4 linked regions of the Drosophila melanogaster genome follow. The protein of the gene in region 3 interacts with the protein of the main gene of each other region in a pairwise test. Each region holds a gene or a part of one and is shown on either strand. Other genes may lie near its edges. The genes, in order: bi, CG9705, dve and sr.

What was found.
Region 1: the proteins of dve (region 3) and bi interact in a two-hybrid assay, tested with the Drosophila melanogaster proteins (one large-scale study listed by BioGRID).
Region 2: the proteins of dve (region 3) and CG9705 interact in a two-hybrid assay, tested with the Drosophila melanogaster proteins (one large-scale study listed by BioGRID).
Region 4: the proteins of dve (region 3) and sr interact in a two-hybrid assay, tested with the Drosophila melanogaster proteins (one large-scale study listed by BioGRID).

What each region holds. Positions count from the first base shown.
Region 1 is NC_004354.4:4,410,715-4,415,959, reverse strand, and holds the start of bi (bifid), read right to left. Parts: upstream 3,105-5,245; 5' UTR 3,040-3,104; intron 2,499-3,039; exon of another isoform or gene 2,061-2,498; intron 1-2,060. UniProt on the Drosophila melanogaster protein: Essential protein that may function as a transcription regulator. Vital for pupal development. Required for proper development of the optic lobes and wings, and abdominal pigmentation.
Region 2 is NT_037436.4:16,778,483-16,783,189, forward strand, and holds CG9705 (uncharacterized protein), read left to right. Parts: upstream 1-1,617; 5' UTR 1,618-1,938; exon of another isoform or gene 1,939-2,022; 5' UTR 2,023-2,174; coding exon 2,175-2,308; intron 2,309-2,980; coding exon 2,981-3,103; intron 3,104-3,181; coding exon 3,182-3,356; 3' UTR 3,357-3,937; downstream 3,938-4,707. Other genes in the region: mus302 (mutagen-sensitive 302), read right to left, coding at 1-999.
Region 3 is NT_033778.4:22,242,281-22,247,163, reverse strand, and holds the start of dve (defective proventriculus), read right to left. Parts: upstream 3,202-4,883; 5' UTR 2,483-3,201; coding exon 2,417-2,482; intron 1-2,416.
Region 4 is NT_033777.3:18,088,733-18,093,985, reverse strand, and holds the start of sr (stripe), read right to left. Parts: upstream 3,184-5,253; 5' UTR 2,532-3,183; intron 1-2,531.

The sequences.
Region 1 (5,245 bases), on a different chromosome or scaffold from region 3:
GCGTGAGTGCTGCTGAAGTCTGAGGCCAAAGGAAGTTGCTGGATGTCAGTCAGCTTTGCACGAGACAGCAGGACCAGGTTCTACTTCCCCAGCGCTTGGCTTCTTCCTCCCCTGCCAAGTCAGCTGGCGTGTTAGTCAGTCAATAGATAGAGCCAGGATAGCAGGATACAAAGGATCTGTCCATCGGATGTACAAACGTACACGCATCCATATACGAGTATGTACACACACATATAATATAGATGTGGTGCGTATTTATCGGTTAAGTGTGCAGTGTGTTTGTTGCCTTCAACCCCAAAAAAAAAAAAAAAACAAGGATAAGTGCCGCATCCAGGCCATTCCCAATTCCCGAAATCCAAAAAATACAATCCCCTCTTCCGTTTTCTTCCGCCGGTTGTAGCAACAACAATGGAGCTGGCATTTTATAGTAGCAGAGTACACAGTACATACCCCACCGAATACGGAATACGGAATACTGAATCGTGATTCCCGAATCATAGCCATATCCATGTCATAAGTCCGTTAGCAGCTTACCAACGAACAACCCCGACTGGAAACCTCACCAATTAATTGGTGAAGTCAGCAAAAGATATAGGTATTATGTGTTGTGGTATTTTGGAACTATTTTAGGTATATATAACACTTAATTCCGTAATTCGATCAAGACAATATATATTTCCAACTGTGTAATAATGTAATCCCTACTAAATGAGGATCAAAAAGAAAATGCATGTTCCCTCGGAAACAAGAAGAAAACATTCTCTAATATGTAATACAAATGGTTAAGGGTTGTTACCTACTTTCGAAAAGGGTTGAGTACTACGTTTCTAAACAGTCATAAAAGTCACTAATCGCTAATAAGCAGTGCAATAAACTACTCGAAAGAGAAAATTATTTTGGTGCTGGGGAAAATCCTTTCCTACAAAACATTGCTCTGTAAACGCGAATGATAATAGCCAGTGGCTTGGAATATTAGATTTATAAATATCCTTGATTTTCAGGCTTAGTATTTCGAAATTAGAACAAGTAGTCAAAATGTTTGCACGTTTTAAATCCTTTTCCGTATAACAATAGATAAATAGAAAAATGTCTAATTATTTTTGTACATCTTCAAGTGAAAGAACTTTGTGTGAGACCAGATTGATCGAGTGCTTGGCCAAGTATTCATTCTTGTGTTCATGGCTCAGTTCGTTTGGCACAACAGAGCGAAGCGACAAATCCAGTTCTGAATACAAGTTTGTATCGGTGGTCCTAGGCGGCTACGATCTCCTCCGCGAATCCCCTTGATCCCCTCCCTATTGAATAAGGCCCCATACAAAAAACCGGACTGTGCCGCAGACGCCGACTTGAGATATTATGTTTTCCGCAGCTGTCAAATTTGATTTGACAAATGTAAATAATACGGACAGACAAAGAGATTGTTGACATAATGGAAGGCGAGCTGATTTACACTTTTAGCTGCGTGTCGAGATGCGATCGTGATCTCGTCTCCGGAACCCCGCTCCCCAACTCTCCCCCCCCCCCTTATCCATCGCCATACATTGCATATATATAGTTTTTTTTTTTTTTTCTTTTTTGTTTTGTCATGCCTGAACAACTTGCAAATCTAGCGACTGTTTGACTGACTGCCTCCGGCTAATGGCTACAAATTGTCACATCAGTTAAGTAGCGAAAAAAGTATGAGAAAACAATTGACGAGGCGATAAACTGATGATACGGGTTCGGAAAGAGTTAGCTAATTGGATAATGGTTCCGATTTCGTTGCGCTTGAGCAGATCGGGATGGGGAATCTCCTGGGGGTTGGATCAATCAATCTAGACAATCTCCCTGGTGTTATGCGATGTGATTATCATAATGGGAAGGAGTTCCACCACGCTTTGTTTAAGGACTTTCCTATTAACTCATTGGATCACCAAAATATTGAAAGTAATTATCAGTAGTTCTACATTTAATGTTTGTAAATTTCTCATTTCTCAAGTAGGGAAAAACCAAGGAGTAGATTTTTTTGATAGTATACTATTTATTTCCAAGGGCAGCATAAACATAATATATTTGTATACCATTATGTTTTCATGATCTGAAACGGTATTTTGAAAATCTCAGGCGGAAACCAGTGTGTTTTTTATTTATATTCTTTGGACCTCCCACCTTGCTGTTGTTTGATTTTTATATATGTTTTTTTTTTTAAGTTTAAATACTCCACACTTTACGCACTTTTCAAACACAATTTTCTTTAATCTTGTCAGGTTTTCAAAAAATTCTGGACTGCACAAAAAAACAAAACAAAACAGAATCTGCAGGGTGATGTTGTTTCTTGATTCCTTATCGTCGACGGCCACGAAACGGTTAACGGTTAGCGGTTAAACGGTGAGCCGTATCGGTTAAGGTCAGTGTATTTATTTTGCCTTCGGATTGAAGCAAAAAAGGGGAATCACACGTAAACACGGCGAGACATTTGGTTTATCTGACGACGCGACGGCAAAAGCGTTTGACGTGAGCGTGTGACAGGCGGCGACTGCTGGCCGAGAACGATCCAAAAAGCCGAAAAGCCCGAAAAACGAAAAAAAAAAAAAAAACAACAAATAACCGGGCCAAGACGACGCCGAGCGCCAAAGTGCAAGAAGCCGGCAGCGACGTTCGCAGCGACGCCGGCAGAATGCGAAAGTGGGGAATCCCCATCGCGTGGGGGGAGGTGGGTTGGCCCGTGTTATGTTCACCACACGCGGGCAAAAAAGCTAAGGCCAGCTTAGCATAGGTTTTCCCCCTCGCCGTGCTGTCGAATGACAAGCATTTTGACACCCAAGTCGTGGGTAGTCTTGTAGTTGCTATTTTGTGGGTTACATATTTTCTTTTTAAAGCCCTTCTGTGTAATCCCTACACTCTATGCTCTCAGCTTTACTTGGCGAGGCCATTCTTTCTTTGCTTTCCTTCTTCTTGTCTTTATACGTAGCCTACCCTCCTGGTCTAACCCTATATAAGTATAAACGTATTCTTTCTTTCTTTGAGTGAAATCCCTCTGTGCGTTTTAAACCCACGTACACCCCTGGATTTTCCGCTGTGATCTCCGCTCTTCGTTTCATATGAAGTGTCGACGTTTACTAACAGAATTCCAATTTTGAATGACGCTATTCGCCACTCTGCTCGACGCTTTGCTTCACAAAACCCACCACGGCAGCACAGTCGACGTCGGCAGAGGCAGAGGCACGAATTCGCCTCGTTTCGCTTCGTTTTGAGTGAGCACTTCTTTGCATGTGTGTGTGTGTGTGTGTGAGTAATTGAGCACTTACTCAGAACCGGTTTATGCTAGGTTTTTTTTGTATCCTATTTGGTCCGAGCCAGGATAACAACACGCCGGATAACTCACGCACATTCGAATCGCATCCTTTGACTTCTTGGGAAAAAAGGACAACGGCTTAACCGTTAAATGTGTGTGTGTATGGTGTCCATTTTTTTTGGGGGGGGATACTACGAAAAACTGGAGCACAGATTAAGTCGCTGCCAAGCGAAAATAAACAAATTTGCAGAAATACGTGGAACCAATTTCGGGTAAAAGGAGCCAAATAAAAAACAAACTAGGATGTTGGCATTGTTATGACCTTAAGTATATGAAATCTGGAAACAGCTTTAAGATATTAAAACAGCTAAGAATCCTTTTAAGACGTAAATATGATTGTAGCTATTAGTTAAGTAATATATATACCATATATATATGTATATATTTGGGTTGGAAATACTTGGTAATCAAATGAAAGTAAAAACAAAAAGCTCAGCTTTAAAAAAAACACTAAATATTAATTCTAAGTTACAGAAAAAATATACAAAACCAGAGATAGTTGGGACTGTATTCAGATTGAGCTAACAGCTTATAAGAAATTATTTAAAAGGATTTTCGTAGGAATAATTGTTGAATTTTTTATATCTTGAACTGAGAATTTAGAATTTTAAGCAACTTTTTTTTTATATATTAACGAATTTATAAATTATAAAGCTTAAAAAAGGAAGAAGCTCAACAAGAAGCAAAAAGAAGGATGAAGATTGTGCGTGCGAAAGGGAGGACCGATGTCACGCAGAGCTAACGGTAGTCGGAATGCCATATGACACTTTCCTTCGCTTTTCGCCTTTTCTTGGGTTTTCATCCGCCGAAGCGCCAGAACGTAATGAATAAAATATGCAATAAGCGTAAAGCAGTAGAAATATGCAAATTCGTTTACAACGTCGCATCTTCTCTACTCTTGCTTTCAAAACCTCCATCCACAAACGCATTCCCTCTCGCTCACACTGCGGCACTTTCGCATGGGTGCGAAAAAGACGGCCATAAAGCAACGCCCCCTGCAAGGCGACCATTTTACACAGTTTCATGTGCGCAAGAACGAGAAGGCAAGTGCCAGAGGGAATGCGCATTCTCGGTGAGAAAGAGTGGGAGAGCGAGTGAATGTGTGTGTGTGTGTGTATGACTGAGTGAGTGAGTTGAGCGTTTTTTACCGGACTGTGGTGAGTTTTTTTCTCATCTCATCGCGATCGCTTAGTGGGCGGAGTCTCGGGCTTGTGTTCATGTGTGTGCGTGTAGAAGCGAGATAGCGTTACATGGCGAGAAGGAAAACACGCACACACACGTAGTCAGCGATTTTGTCACACAGGCAAAAATGTCCTTTTCCGTCTCCGTGCCTTCTCGTGTCCCTTATTTCTCAGTTTCCACTTCACCTATATGGCTTTATTCGGTTTTTTGGCGCGAAATTTTAGGCTCAAATTCGGAAAAGGGAGCTAAAATTTGGAGAAATAATAGAAGCACAGAACTTTGAAAAATAAAATTTCTTTAAAAAAAAAGAAAAATGTTGAAAAGATATTGCTGTGATTATGAAATTACAGCTCGCAATGTAGGAACTCAGATAAATATTGAATTCAAAACAAATAAATGATTAATACGTCAGTTATTTCTTTGGATAATTTGTGCTTCAAATATTGAATTTTTGATAATTCCAGATCACTAATCTTAAAAATTTTAAATTTAAAATAATTATAAAATAAATGTGTAGCAATTAAAAAACGAGGGTACATTTCGTTTCTCTGCCAAACCATTTCCGAATGCCCAGAACATCAAAAATAACATGTAAGAAGTTCCTGAATGCATCTGCCATGGCCGATGAGAATCAACTGTAAAATATGGCGCAATGTGCAATTGTTGATAATGGGGCATGTGGCGCGCATATCCTACCGATTCGCTATTCCGTATAGCCCGACTTTTTTA
Region 2 (4,707 bases), on a different chromosome or scaffold from region 3:
GTGCAGGAATTGCAGGGGCTTGAAGGTAGGTGGATCAATAAAGCGTACGCCGTAGCCGGGGAACAGGTTTTGGGCACTCTTTTGCGAGGCCACCAGCATGGAGTGCTTGGCGGAATAGAGCAATACACGGCAGCCGGGATCTCGAGTTATCTCGAAGTTCTTCTCCATGTACAATCGGTAGGTGGCTAGTTGTTGAATGCTCTTCTGGCCGGATGCATCGCCTCCGAAGGCTCCCCGACCACCACCTGCCCTCACCAGCTCCTTAAGCCGTTCGTAGTCCTTCTGCAGGAGAATCAGCTTCTCAGTGGTGAGTGTGTTAGCCAGCTTCGCGGTAGCCAGCTCTGTTGTTAGAGTATGTGTACGCCGCCGCTCCGCCTCCAGCTGCTCCCTAATATCCGTGTCCAGCATCTGAATGCGCTTCGCATACAGATGACGGATATCTCTAAATGTGGCCTTCGTCTTGCACTGCGGGCACACCTTCACAGAAGATTGGCGATGGCTTTCGTTTAACCACCGCCGAATGCAGCTTTCCCCAAAGAGGTGACCACATCGCAGCGAGACCAGTCGATGCTCGCCACTCATCTCCCAGGAATCCAGACAAATGGGACAGGTCATGCCATCGTCCTCGTCATCTACAACTATTGGTTTGCCCTCGGGCGACTTTTTAAGGCTTTTATCGGCAGCAGCGGAGAGACGTTTACGTTTCTTGGGCGGTGATGGCGTTTCTAATGAGATCACCTCCTGCTCTTCGCCTTGATTGCGGCGGGAATTTCTCGGGGGACTGGGCAAATGCGGAGGATCTACCAGAATTAAAGGCGGAACTCTCGGTTGCTCGGGTTCCGCGTTCTCACCAGGCTGGTCACGTTGTTCATCAATCTCAACCGCCGGCTGCAGACCTTCAACTGGATTGAGGATTACCTCATCATCACCAGAGCTATCATCTGTAGAGGTCTCATCGGCATAAACTTCCGGATCAAGAGCTTCGGTTTCATTCTCCATTCCTTGCAGCAGGATGTCTGAATTCCGCTTTCTCGCTTCAGACTGATCGCATTCCCTGCTGCCCGATGAGTATATTTCCGGATCCACGGCGCTGTCGCCTTTTGCGAAACCTTCGCTGTCCGTTTCACCTATATATGGTCTCAATCAAGTTTTCCTCTTGGAAAACATGAAAGTTCTTGTTATTATTTTATCTATTTCGCGACTTTCCTGCAATAGGACGCTAAATTTCAAGCTAGGGATGGTCAAGATCGAGATGCTTTAGTGATGGAACAACGGGGTGAAACTATCGAGTACTACATGTAAATAAATATATTTAAATATTCATTGTTAGTGTGGACAACATATTAGTCTGAACACATTTTTTTCGTATATCAAGCATATAAAAAAAGAATCTATATAAGAGTTGAGTGTTTGTGCGGAAAATGCAATTTTTTAATTGTTTAAAATAATTATAAATGCTTTCAATTAAATTTTCACATCTATTTATTCTACCAACAAGTTGGAGTAACTTGTAATTAATCCTGTTTGTTCGTTAAATTTGATTTTCAAATTTTATTCATGTTGCTATAAACATCGATTGCCAATTAGGCTAAGCGATAGGTTTTGGGATTTCTGGAACATTCCAAAACGTTCACTCTGAGGTCTGACTTTGACGCCTCCGCCGCCATTCGTTAAAAAACTGAAATTCTTAAAAAGCGCGCATCAAGCCGGTGTAATAATTGATAAAAAAGTTTAAAAAAATCCCAGATTCCAAAGTTGATAAAAGTCATACCGCGCAGGACTGATTTAGGGGGTACAAATAACATTGGCAACCGGCGTTTCGCACAGCGGTAAAATTTGCATCAGTGTGTGGGTGTTTCGCAAAAAAAAAAGAAGCTAAGCCAGGATTTTTGGATTGCCAATTATCAAGGTGCTAGGAAAGAGGGCGTGAAGTTGTCGGTAAGCTGACCGAGTACACGTGAATTAAGTGCAACGCAATTTGCTGACTGACTAACCCGCCCCCCGTGGCCTTGAACTCGACAGACTTGGCTGCCGTCCACTCACCCACAAACACACATACGCACATATATACACACGCGCAAGCCGCTTCTACTGTCTGAAGAGAGGAGAGGAAAAGAGCGAAGAAAGGGGAAGAACGCATAAATCGGCAAGTAAACGAGCAGTGTAAGAAAGCCATGACCGAACCAAGGACGCCCGAGAAGCTGCTGGCCGCCAAGCCGCCGGTTTTACACCACAACAGCCATAGTCCCAATGCCTCGCTGCAGCTGCCCAGTCCCATCATCACGAGGCGCACTCGCACGGCCTCGACGTAAGTCCTCCTGCACTGCCCTGCCCACCCAACCAGCAAAACCACCCACCCACTACTGGCCCCACACACACTTGACCCCAAGGGGAACTTGGCCCCTATGCAGAGCCTTTATGGGGCCAAATAGGCGCCGAAAGTTCACATTATTTCACAAGGTTCGCTCTTTTGTATGAAAACCAAATACAACCTTTTGAAATAGTAAAAGAATAGCATGGAAGCTTGTAATTTCTAAAGCAAAAGCTTTCTATAATGTTTTAAACTGCATTTGTTGAATTAGATGAGCAAACATAATGAAACAAACAGTAATTAGTAATCGAACATGGAACACTTTATTGGTTCCACATTTACATTTAATATATTTATTTTTATGTGTATATACTTATAAATATTTTTATAACCGTAAGGACCATTTTTTTTGAAAGTTTAAATTTGTAAACCCCATACTTTTTCAATTATTTCATTGTACATACATACATACATTCAGAAATCAGTCGCTGCCGAATTTATAAGCTCTCGGAACCCTTTCGAACATAATCCACGTACTTAAATTCTTCCCCCTCATATCCCCATGCGCATCCTCCATTGATTAACTTGTCTCTTCCTGCTTAATTCTTTTCCCAAACGCTGCCAAAACGCAAACACGCGCAAACTCAAAATAACGCTGAAAAAACATAGCTCCGCTCGGGCCTTGGAAAATCCGGTTGTGACCGGTATGGTGAAATCCTTCAGCCGCACCAAAGGACACGGCTTCATTACACCCAACGCCGGCGGAGAGGACGTTTTTTGCCACGTTTCCGAGTAAGTGAATGAATATTGCATGCGCGGCGACCTTTGCGCTGGCTCTGTAAGACCTACAAAAATGTAATCTTCCCACAGCATCGAAGGTGAATATGTGCCCATGCCCGGGGACGAGGTCAAATACCGTCTGTGCGCCATTCCGCCCAAGTATGAGAAGCACCAGGCCGTGCACGTGCAGATTAGCCACCTGACGCCGGAGGTGCACCACAAGTGGGAGGAGCCATTCTATGGTGGCTCCTCGCCCGCTAAGTAAAGCTGAAGCTTGTGGCCCTGGGAGATTTCGAAGCTCGGAAGCGGAAAAGTGTGTTGTTAAAAGCTGAACGGCCTTCCAAGAAATTTAATTGAGCTAGAGCACGCCACCCGAGATGAACGAAACGGAAAACCGGAACAGAACAATAACCATGAAAGTAAACGAAAGCACAGCAATCGAAGCAGCCAGGAAAAAGCCGAAACCAGACCAGAACGTAATAGAATGGAACAACAGGCCTGCCATCCAGCCAGCCAGCGAGCAGCATCACAAGAGTTTCAATTGAACACTTAATTAGAATTTAAGCTAAGCTATGGAAGTCAAACAAAACGCAGTCACAAATATTGCCTTTCCCTCTGGAAGAGGGGAGAGCAACCGCAACCAGTTTCGAGTATATTATTAAAAGCGCGTATGTATTTGGAAATTGAAATTGTTATTCGAGAAGCCACTAGCACAGCGCCTGCGATGCTGTGGTGCCCTGTATCAGTAATTACTTTTAATTATAACAAAACATCTGAATGTGTTCGCGAAGCAAACAAGCAAAATGCTCTCAGTAATTCACTTTATTATTAAAACAGCTGCAAAACAATTCCATCGGTGATTTTTCTGGAGTGGCGTGGGAGTTATCAGCATGGAGTGTGTATTGTACGCACAATTGCGGTCAGCATAATAGCCGCTTGCTTGTATGTGTTCTAATAAAATTTTATGCAAAATTATTAATCTTACGTTTTTATTACGGCATCTAAATGTTCATTTTAGATATTAGCTAATGTCTGATTGTAATATCACGATATTCATAACATGGCAAAATATTGTTTTAGCCGCAGCTGTAACTTGTATTTAATTTAGTGGTGTATCTTATCTGCAGTGAAAGCAGATACTTTTTGCAGCCCAAAGCATACATGAATTTTTGGCTCACTATTGAAAATATATTTCCTGCGTTCTGCAGAAAATCGAAACCGTAACATATTCAATAAAAAAAAACCAACCTTTTTGCCACAATAGATACCTAAAGATTTCCGCCCGCTAAATTTATCAAGTAGAGCCATAAATAGCCAAACCAACTCATACTCCTAAAATTATGGATTTCCATTTCGTAAGTCTCCCGCCACTCAGTTTGAATTTCGAATGATTAGTGTGACCATGCGGCGGTTTATAGCAACTGCATGCGTAGTGCGACAGAGAGTTGCTATAAAAATATATTGGAACGTCAACAAACATATGCCACGAAAGAAAATATTCCGATTCAACGGAAAATGAATTAATTAAAGACCGAACTGGCAGATATTCAGAAAGCCATTCGATCGTACATTTAACCAAATTAAAGGCATCGAGGGAATTGTATCGGGAAAATACG
Region 3 (4,883 bases):
TGTGTTACAATCAGGTAGCACTAGCAGCCAAGCGGCTAAAGAGATCAGGAGAAACTGCGGGGGGAGAGGAGCACGCCTAAGCCGCCAGAAGAATTGAACGATGTGCTAGGGTGTAGTAGTAGTGGTGGTGGACCCAAGTCCAAGGAAGAAAAGAAAGCCAGAAGTCAGGAGGCGGCGGCCACAACAACAACAACAGGGCCACAAAGATGACAAACAGTTTGGACATTTATGAGCGGCATTTAATGGACATTTGACTACCGGAATTTAACGAAACCGAAAACGTGGGAAGGCAGACGGGGAAGCCGACAGAGGGGCAGACGGGCAGGGCCAGAAGAAAGGGCGAAGAATGCATTTGATTGGAGCTGCGATTCGATGCGCGGCCGGATTAACCCCGATTACCATTAGTCTTGGTGCGAGAGATCGCTGGGGAAAACGAGGCAGAGGTAATGAAACGACTATTCGATGATCACGAGCACGGTGAGCAGGAAGCAGCGGCGAAGAAGATTTCAATTAATAAATATTCCATTATCTGACTCCTAAGGCTGTCCCCGCCCATCCCCCATTCACAAACGACTAACACTTTCAGATTAGACAAAATCGAACCATTTATAATTTATAAGACGGCCTATCTGGCTGCTCAAAAGGCGGCCAGGTGATCTAACCGGGTGTGAAGAGACGGCATTATCTGTTGGCCGCGTTCGATTTCGATATTACGCCCTTAGAAAAACCCCGAAATGAAATTATCACAACAATAAAGCTAAATGCTTTATAATTAGTTTGGCCGGGCCAACAAAAAATTCGACTCACACTCGCACAATATGATTTGCCATAGTTTTGAAAGAATTCACATTTATTTATGCCCCTTCTGACCATTCTGGTTTATTATCTGACTCTCGAGCAACTTACGCCGTCTTATCTTAATCCCATTCACTAAGCATATGCGTCGACACATAAAACTGTCAAAAAATAAAAAAGAAAACGAATGGTTCTAAAGCCGAAGTTTCGAATGCTCTAGCCTAGATCGATTCTGATCTAATCGATATAAAATTTTTCAAAACTATTGCATCATCACATTCGTCGTAGCAAACTTAGAGGAAGTTACATTTATCGGAAACATGCAAAGATTTTGCAATTACCATTGCCACGTGGACGTACATAGAACAAAAAACAATCCCTGTGGACCTATTTAAATTGCTGGAAGCACTGCTAGGTTCTACAAATATGGTAATCTCAATCGATCTCTTAAAAAAATGTAAGTATTCCCAATGGCTAGGGTATACGAAATAACTCTAAGCTGTTTGTTTTCGAAGCCATCACAGATTTGGCCAGTACAATAACTCTTGTGGCATGATTTCGGCTTAAAGACAATGACGGTGGGTCCCTCGCGAGATTGGGATTTTTTAAATATACAACATAGAGATGTTTTCGAAACCGATTGGAAATAAAATTCATAAATTCTTGGATTAGTCACCCCCCGTTTTCGGCGTTTGGGTAACCGATTCCAATGGGTTGAGCGCCAAAGGCAGAAGTCATACCGCAGAGCCAGATAAATAATAATTACACTCACACAACATAATCAATTATGTCTGCTAATAAACCACACACACACATGCAGGCACACACCCAGATATCTGGACATGTGTATGAGTGATCCCCCACTTTTTCCAGAGAGGGAGTTGGGCTGGACTAATCACGCCAGCATGTTCATAATCAATTTTATCGCACTTATTTGGATTAATTGCGATATCAGTGACAGGGGCGTTCGATTCTGATAAAAATAAGAGCGGCGCGCACAGAGATGACGCGACATGCACTCTATGAGCTGGGGGCGCTAACGCTCCCCACCGCCAGTATCCCCACCCCGTTAGCCACATTCGATATCTAAGTTCGTCATCGCCTTATGCCGAATTTACCAGCGTTTGACAAAATTACCGTCGGGATTATCTTATCTGGCTGGCAAAAGCTCTGGCGGAGAACCCAGAACTCGGAACTTAGCCCCAGTTCCCAGTTTTCCCCTTTGGGGATCGGCTTTACAATGCAATTAGTGGGCACACCGAACGGGGAAAGGTAAACAGTTGGGTGCGGGGTGCTGGCGGACTTATCGCAGCACCGATCTCGAAAATCTCAGCCGATAAGGATTATCTTAATCTGCATAAATAGCGAAACGAGCGCATATCTACACGGCCCTTATCACTACAGCTTGGCCATATGTCGTTTGGCCGATTTTGTTTGCACTCAACTGATTCATTTGGCAATGGGAGGGCTGTAAAAGTGGGGGATAGCCAGGGTATCTGACTAATGGCTGTGTGAAGTGCCGCCGGCAAAGCGATCTCGCCGTGCGATGATGAAATTTCTCCGTATGACGAAATCTTCGTGATGCGGATGATATCTCTGCAAATTTGAAGGCTCAACTCACCTGCTGACCGGCATTGGCTGCCACCCAGGCTTCGGCAAAGGTTTCCATGGCGCTCTGGAAGTCCATCTCGCTGGCGATTCAAAGTTCTAATCACTGAGTCTGCAGTTCACGTATTTTATTTATGGCCAGATGCAGGCGCTTTGGCATTAATTGCAATTTGGATGGTTCGCTGTGATTTTTGTTTGATTGCAATTTGTCACCGCGATAAGGGGAGCTCGATTTCGAATTCGATCGGGGGAAGGTGTATTTCTTGATTCGATTTGATTTGATTTAATTTGATGTGATTTTTCTATTTATTTCTTATTTGAGTAGCGCGGATACGCAAATTAGACACAGGCACACACACGCGCGCAACCGCACACACGCTCAGGTGAAACGCGCGTTTCCTTCGTGGAACGGATTCGATGACTCTAGTTCCAGATGCTGCACTTCCAATTGCTCCAGGGGCTCTTCTTGCTGTTGTTGTTGCTGTTGGGGGCGACGCGACATCATTAGTGCCATGAAATCGGGAGCTGATCGCGTCACTGCGTCACCAGGATTGGCAGCGTATCGAATTTGGCGAATGCGACAATCGCAAATCCAGCCAACCGTTGAGGTTGAGGCGTTCAGGCTGTCTGGCTGTCCGCCTGTCTGGTTTCTCCGGCAGATGGCGTGCCGAATCCTTGGGCTCCTGCTCCTGACTGACTGATCTGGCTCTCTGGACTCTCTTCGCAGGGTATCGCAGGGTGTTAGTAAGCGGACGCGCGTCAAGACATCCTCTCTTGGCCAAAGTTGTCGCACAACTGACGGCATTCCTTCGCCTTCGCACATTCGCCGGTGTGCCGGTGCTCGGTGTTTGGCATTCGGTCTCTTTCGGCCGACGGTCTTCGGTCTCGTTCTCGCCCTCCCCCAGCCAGCACCCACCCCCCTTTCAACCGTGGTCCTCTCACGCGGCTCCATTTGCCGCCAGTCCATGTGTACTGGTGTGTGAGTCAAAGAGACAACGACCGCGCTCTCCCACTTGTATTTGTATTTGTGTGAGTGGGGAGAGAGAACGTAACAAAAAGTAGTAGGCTCTGAAAAGGTAGTAAAACTATGAGTTAGCTGAGCTCTTATGAATGGGGCTCTAATTAAAAGGATTAGATTAAAATCAATATATTTATTATATTAAATATAACGAAAGGAAAAATATAAATGCTGTAAATTTTATATTTGTTATAAGAGTAACCCACTTTGCTTAGAATAAGAACAAGTGGCGCTTTTCTTAGTAAATTAAAAATAAAAAATGTTAAAAAGACCACCAAATTTTAGAAAGCTAAATTTACTTTATATGTCACGTTATTTTCTTCAAAATGTAAATTTCTTTAGAACTGATAAGAATTTTTGCTTACCAACACTTTCCCACAGTATCATCTTGTTAAAATATTGAAATGATGCCAAAGCGTAGTAGAAATACTGCGAAATTTCGTTCTGGTTAGCGAGGCAAACAAACAGCTCTGCGTGTGTGCGTCAGTGAGTGACCAAAACAAAGCACACGCACAGGGACAGAGAGAGAAAAGAGAGTAGCTATGCAGAGAGCGACTTTCTCTCACACACACACAGGAACAGTGGGTAAACCTGTTCCGGCGCACAATTGCACTTGTCGTCGCCGCAGCCTTCGCCCAACCCGCCTAAAACCCCCTCCCCCGACAAACACTTGCTCATTCGGCTGCGCGTTTTCTTTTATTTTTTGTGCGCTGTGGCGAAACTGAATGGATTTGCTGCAAATTCGGGTGGAATTATGCCGCACACACACAGCCACATATCCCTACACCGTGTAGAGTGGGCGTGGGCGTGAACTACGACGGTGCGGGTGCGAGCAGTGCGGCAATAGGTTCGGGCATTCGGGATGAAAGAGTAAATCGGCATTGCTTATTCCTCTCGATGGGCGGTGGGTGGTCGGGGGGCTACACCCACTCGGCATTTAGCACCTCCGTGAATGGCGACGGCCTTCGTTGAGGATTCGTGAGTTCACGGCACGAAGTGGATTTCGCCGAGGGGCGGGATGGGTGGTGCCCCCGGAAAATAAGAGATAAGAGCGCAGATAATGCGCGCGCATTACATGTGATTAGGTGTCCGGGCTGCAGGATTTAGCCAACCGCGTCCAAGTATATGGTAAATAGGATTTCTATGTAGCAGCACTAGTAGGAGAAACACTGCGCCGAGAAAAAGATGGAAATAGGGTGGAGTTACAGTGGGCTTGGTAATTAGTACAGGATTTCATATCCGTTTTCAGAAAACTCAACCGAAAAAAGACTGCCTCTTTTTCTCTTATAGTTTCTAAAAAACAACTATAATTATTTATACAAATTAAATAACTGCTATATACCAAAACATAAAAATACATAAAAATCCTTGATCTGGATATGTTTATCCCACGATATCCTCAGTTTTCATCCAGTTCCTGAATGCGCAAGCTCTCCCTTTCTCCCTCTTGGCGCTTGCTCTC
Region 4 (5,253 bases), on a different chromosome or scaffold from region 3:
AATTAGAGTTGCACAGTGGAAGCTAAAGCTTCGTCCCTGCGATGACATTTAAAGGTTAGAGGTTGCGAGCATCAATCAAAAGGCAGCTACACAAGTGGAATGGAAGTCCCATCCTGTGCTGTTCTGCTCCATTACTCTAGCGCTGAAACAAATGAGCAATAATAAAAATAATAATATTAATAATAATAATAACGAGGGGACAGCGCTTCCTGGAAGGTGGAAAAACCGAAGGGACATTTTCGTTGGCTGGGAAAACGAGAACAATAAGGTTATCCAAGCTGGACCTGTTGATTGCCTGCCTTCATTTCGCCAAATGTGCTCCACTTCTACTTCACTTTTCCTAGTGGAAATAATTTCCAGCGTGGGCGTGTAAGAAAATGCTCGACTGGGATGCTAATAGATGCGATTAAACGCCCACACTGTCAGATATTATTGACTAGAAGATGAGGATGAAGTTAAGGGCAGGGGCACAGCTAAATGGCAGATACGGCACAGTGGGCTAATACTGCCCATGAATACTGTTAGAATAAATGTATTCGGGAAAAAAGAAAATCTCTAAATGTTAATGTGTAAGGCAAAGTTGTGAATACTTTCTATTATTCAAAATATTATAATGTGAGAAATTAATCAATTGCTTTATATTAATCATACGCAGTGTGGTCATAAATATTTACTAAATTGAAAAGTTAAAACAATTACACTATAAACCCTATTTATTATATTATATACACTATATTACACGATTTGAAATAGTTAATAGCTGATAGGTACCCAAAGCTTTTGTACACATTTGAAGACTGATTTGAACCACTGTGCAGAAGGAAGCCAGAAGCTACTAGCATTTTCCACTCGAGAAGAGTCTCGGGAGAATGGATACAGGATGCTGGTGCCTTGCCCTTTTCCCGAAACGTCTGCCACGTGTGTGGGATGTCCTGCGGCTGGAGGCTCCTGTTGCTCTTTGGCCAACCCACCGCCCGCCAATCGATGGCAGACCAAAGGTTGCCGGTCACATTCGGATAAATATATGAATGGAATGGAAAGCGAAAAACTGAATTGAGCTTATCAATGAAAAAAGCTCCCGTTGATGTGTCCGCTCAACTAGAAGTTCATTCATAAATTTTCCTGATTTTCCGCTAAGCGAATAGAGCAGCTGAACCCAAAGAAGCTCGCCCTGTTATCCGGTTGAACTTTGATATTTCGGTATTCACAGGAGAAGGTCCTGCCTTCCGTTTCTCTGCCCCTTTGTGGGGGAGTCGCTTCAAATGTCAGCTGCTCCTGACTCCATTTAAACCGCATTATTTGGCCGGAAGCTTTGGCTGGATTCGTTACACCTGCGTGTTTAATTAGCCAGGCAATTTCAACTTGTTGCAGAAAATTTGCGGCTACCAATTGCCGGTTGACCTTATACATATGAGCAGCATTCCCCGCGCTGTGCCCCTCGCACATTCGCACACGGAACACGTGTACGTGACTTTTAACCTTTTCATGTGGCAGCGCTAATTGATTTGTTTTACGCACGTGTCGCTCTGCAGGAGTGCAAATACATATGTATCGCGTGGGCTACGCATACTAACGTCCTTCATATTTTAGGCCATAACCAGCAATTCGTCATTCAGTCAAATAGCTTGTGTTTGAGCCAAAAAGAAGTTGTTGCAAGGCTGTTCTTTGAGTTTTCCATTAAAAAAGATAAACAAGAGGCCAACAAAAGTATACTTAAAACAACCAATATGTTGTAAAAGTTTCATAAATCATTATATTAAGCCTTATCTTTGTATATTTTTATTAGTTTTAATTTTAGTTATTATTTCCATTCATATTGAATGGAGGTAAACCACGAAATTCAATTGACTTCTCGAACATTCGACGGCTTCATAAAAAAACCAGGTTTCTTTCGAAATGCAAATGGAGTCTATCTGCAAATGGTATTTGGCAAAAACAGCTCCTAAATATTAAGGAATGTGTAAATAATTTTATGCAAAATGATCTCATTCGATTCGGTTTGTACAGAAATTTCGAAGATGTGTAATCTTTTCCATCTCATTCATCATTAAAAATGTAAGGTTTTTCAATGAGACTACAAATATTGAATGAATTTTTATATTTAATAATTAAATAGAAAACAAATCTGGTTTAGCTAATGGCTAAAAACCTTTATGGTTTTGTGAAATAGGAATTTATGAAAATCACAAAATATTTTATGTTAATTACCTTTATTGAATTATTTTAAGAAATCATCCAATAAAATAATTTGGATTTACGAATATATGTTTTCGGGCAATATTCGTACAATTTATTAATAAATTAAAACTAATGTAACATGACCGTAATAAATTCGGCCCCGCTTCAATTTTCCCCATCATATATATGTAATAAAGCCTTATATTTGGCTTTCGCCCCAATTAAAGGCCATTAGAGGCCATAACCAAACCGACAATCACCCCTTTCCCGCTGTAACCATTAATATACTTGTTCAGATGTCGATGGTGGATGGCTGGGCAATATAGGCAGGGTCTACTACTACTACTACTTACCAGCTATAAAAAGGCAATCAGATGTCGTCGATTCGGAGGCAAGTCGGCGACAACAGAGCACGCAAGCGCCCAGAAAGCTGGTCTGGCTAGGGCATCAAGATTTGGGCGCGTAAATAGGCAGGATCGTTGGGATTTTCATCTGTAGTCCAACAGTCGCGCGGATTGCGGATCGCGCGACTGCGTTTGTAATTAATTACGAGGCGGGCCAAAAAGGCGAACGCACGCGCGACTCACTATAAACCGCAACCGCGATTGCAACTGCAACAACTACTGCCAACTGCGACTCTGAAACTTCAGATGGCCAAGCATAAGATAAGATGCGCAGCTGTATAGAACGTGGCCAAGTCAAAGGAAGCGACGTAGCTACTGCGATTACGCGAAAGATATCCACCGGCTGTAATCGCGATCTCGTTGGCTAGCGAAGAGTTGGCAACTAGTTCCCGGCTTCTTCGGTGCAGATTATGCAATTTTGATTTGAAACACGCAATTTGATGGGCTAGTCGAGATATTGGGCTACGGGCTATCTTTCGGCTTAATTCGCTTAACGATCTCATGCACAGGGCGCGTAAATCGGGGCTATAAGATCCCCTGCTCTTTTTTTTATTCTCGAATTTATTGTGCTCAACTTATTAGACGATAATTTCCTTCCGGTTGCGATGCGTTTTTTTTTTGCGATTCAATCCGTCGTCCGACTGTCGGCGGTATTAAAAAATACGGTTTGCTTCGCTTTGCAGCGCTGCCTTGACTGTTTTGCCTCGGTTTCACTGTATCTGTACCTGTACGTGGCTTTGTATCTGTATCCGTTTGCGATGGCAGTGTGTGAGTGTGTGGCAGTCGTGGGCTGATCATCGCCTTACTTAGAGATCTGTCGCCCAGTTGAGATGCCTCGTCTGAGTGTTGTTGTTGTTGTTCTTGCTGCCGTGTGTGGGCACAACTGTACATGCGGACGGGCTAAGCTAGCCGTCCTCGTCGCACTCATGACCGGGGGATTGCCGGTGGGGCAACGAACAACGAACAACAAACAACAAACACCACAAACCACACACACAACCCCCGCAACGCCTCAAAGTGCTTTTCTCTCTCGCTGAGCTTCTATCGCCTAGCATAAGGCTGTAACACCTTTGGATTACTCTTAAGCCGTTTTCCTACACTGAAAAGAAGTGTGAGTGTCAAAAATGTCCTGCGTGCCTTCATCTTAGTTAAACTAAATAATTGGTATTTCTAAATCCTCTTCAGCTGTTAGTAAACCAATATATGTAATATTTTCATTGACATTAGAAGAAGTGTTTTGTAAATAGGAATTATTTATTTATCAATAATCTTCATTTAAGTCATCTTAAATTGTTTTCAGTGCACCGGAACGTGCCAAGTTCTACGAGTGGTTGTGTGGGCTTTCCTCGGTCTAAAAGCCCACACATTTAGCCAACACTCTTGATCGCAACCCTCTTAGTAGAATCAAAACCCCCTCCACGTGTGCAAAACCCTTTCATAGGGATACTTGTAGAATCTGCGTCATTCAATGCACTTGTGCAAACAGACATACATATGTACATACATATTTTAGCCAGGATTTTTACGGATGCAGTAAACTTTAAGGGTTTTCCTGGAATCGAAATCCAAATTCGTCTATCAATCCTGAAAGCTTTTGCTGGAAAGCTAGTCAGCTAAAAATAACACCAACGAAAGCTAATTGGCTGAAAAAAGCTTGGGCCCCCTTAGAAAAAAGCTTTAGAGGCAACAGCACCCACAGAAACGCACACCCACACACAAAAAAAACGCCAAACACACATACACACACACACACATGTGTATATACAAAGGGGTCACGTGGGTGGTTTCATTGATAAATTCATACTTTTACCTCTCGCTCTTTCAGCTGACTGCAAATTGAATTGCAAAATACTGCAGCTGTGCTCGCAGAAAGAGACAGAGCGATAGAAAGGGTGCAGGTGGAGAAAGGAAGCGGAAAGAGATGGAGCTACTGGAAGAGAAAGAGACAAGGACAGAGCCCCTCTGTGCACTGCTCCACTTTAAATAATGTGGGTGTGGATCAAGCCCGGCATTAGATTGTGAATGAAAACTCGAAAAGAGACAGCGAAACGCGGCTAGAAAGAGACGGAGAGCCGAGTTAAAAACGCCCACCAAGCTCACCTTACACAGACACACACACACACACACTCGCACTTTGGCTTCTAATCATATTCATATTTTACCCCCCCCCCCCCCTTCACAACTGAAAACTCGAATTCATTCATTCACAAAATGCTTATATATGGAAACTTGTCAATTAGTTCAAGTGTCTTACACTGAGCGAAACCCAAGTCCCAAGTCAAATTAATTATACTTAGCCGAATCGCCCACATCGGACATTTGACATTTGTACTCTTATTAACTGTAATTGCTCATTCAGAATGTGACACATGCAATAGTAATAACAAAGGCCAGCACAATTAGCTCGCCACCTTATAAGGCTTATACTTTGTTAGGAAAATAAATTTGAGAAATGGCACTAGAGACAATAGTATGGCCCAAAAACCCAATATTAAGATACAAAATCTAAGATACAAGATACACCACGTTGTATTCCGACAAACTACAACTATGAATAATCTATGAATAATAATACGTGAAGTGCTCGTACGTTTTGAACTGCATTCTGTTTGAAAATGATGAAATATTAGTAATTAAAATCCAGCTAACAACTTTCCATCACCTTAATTTG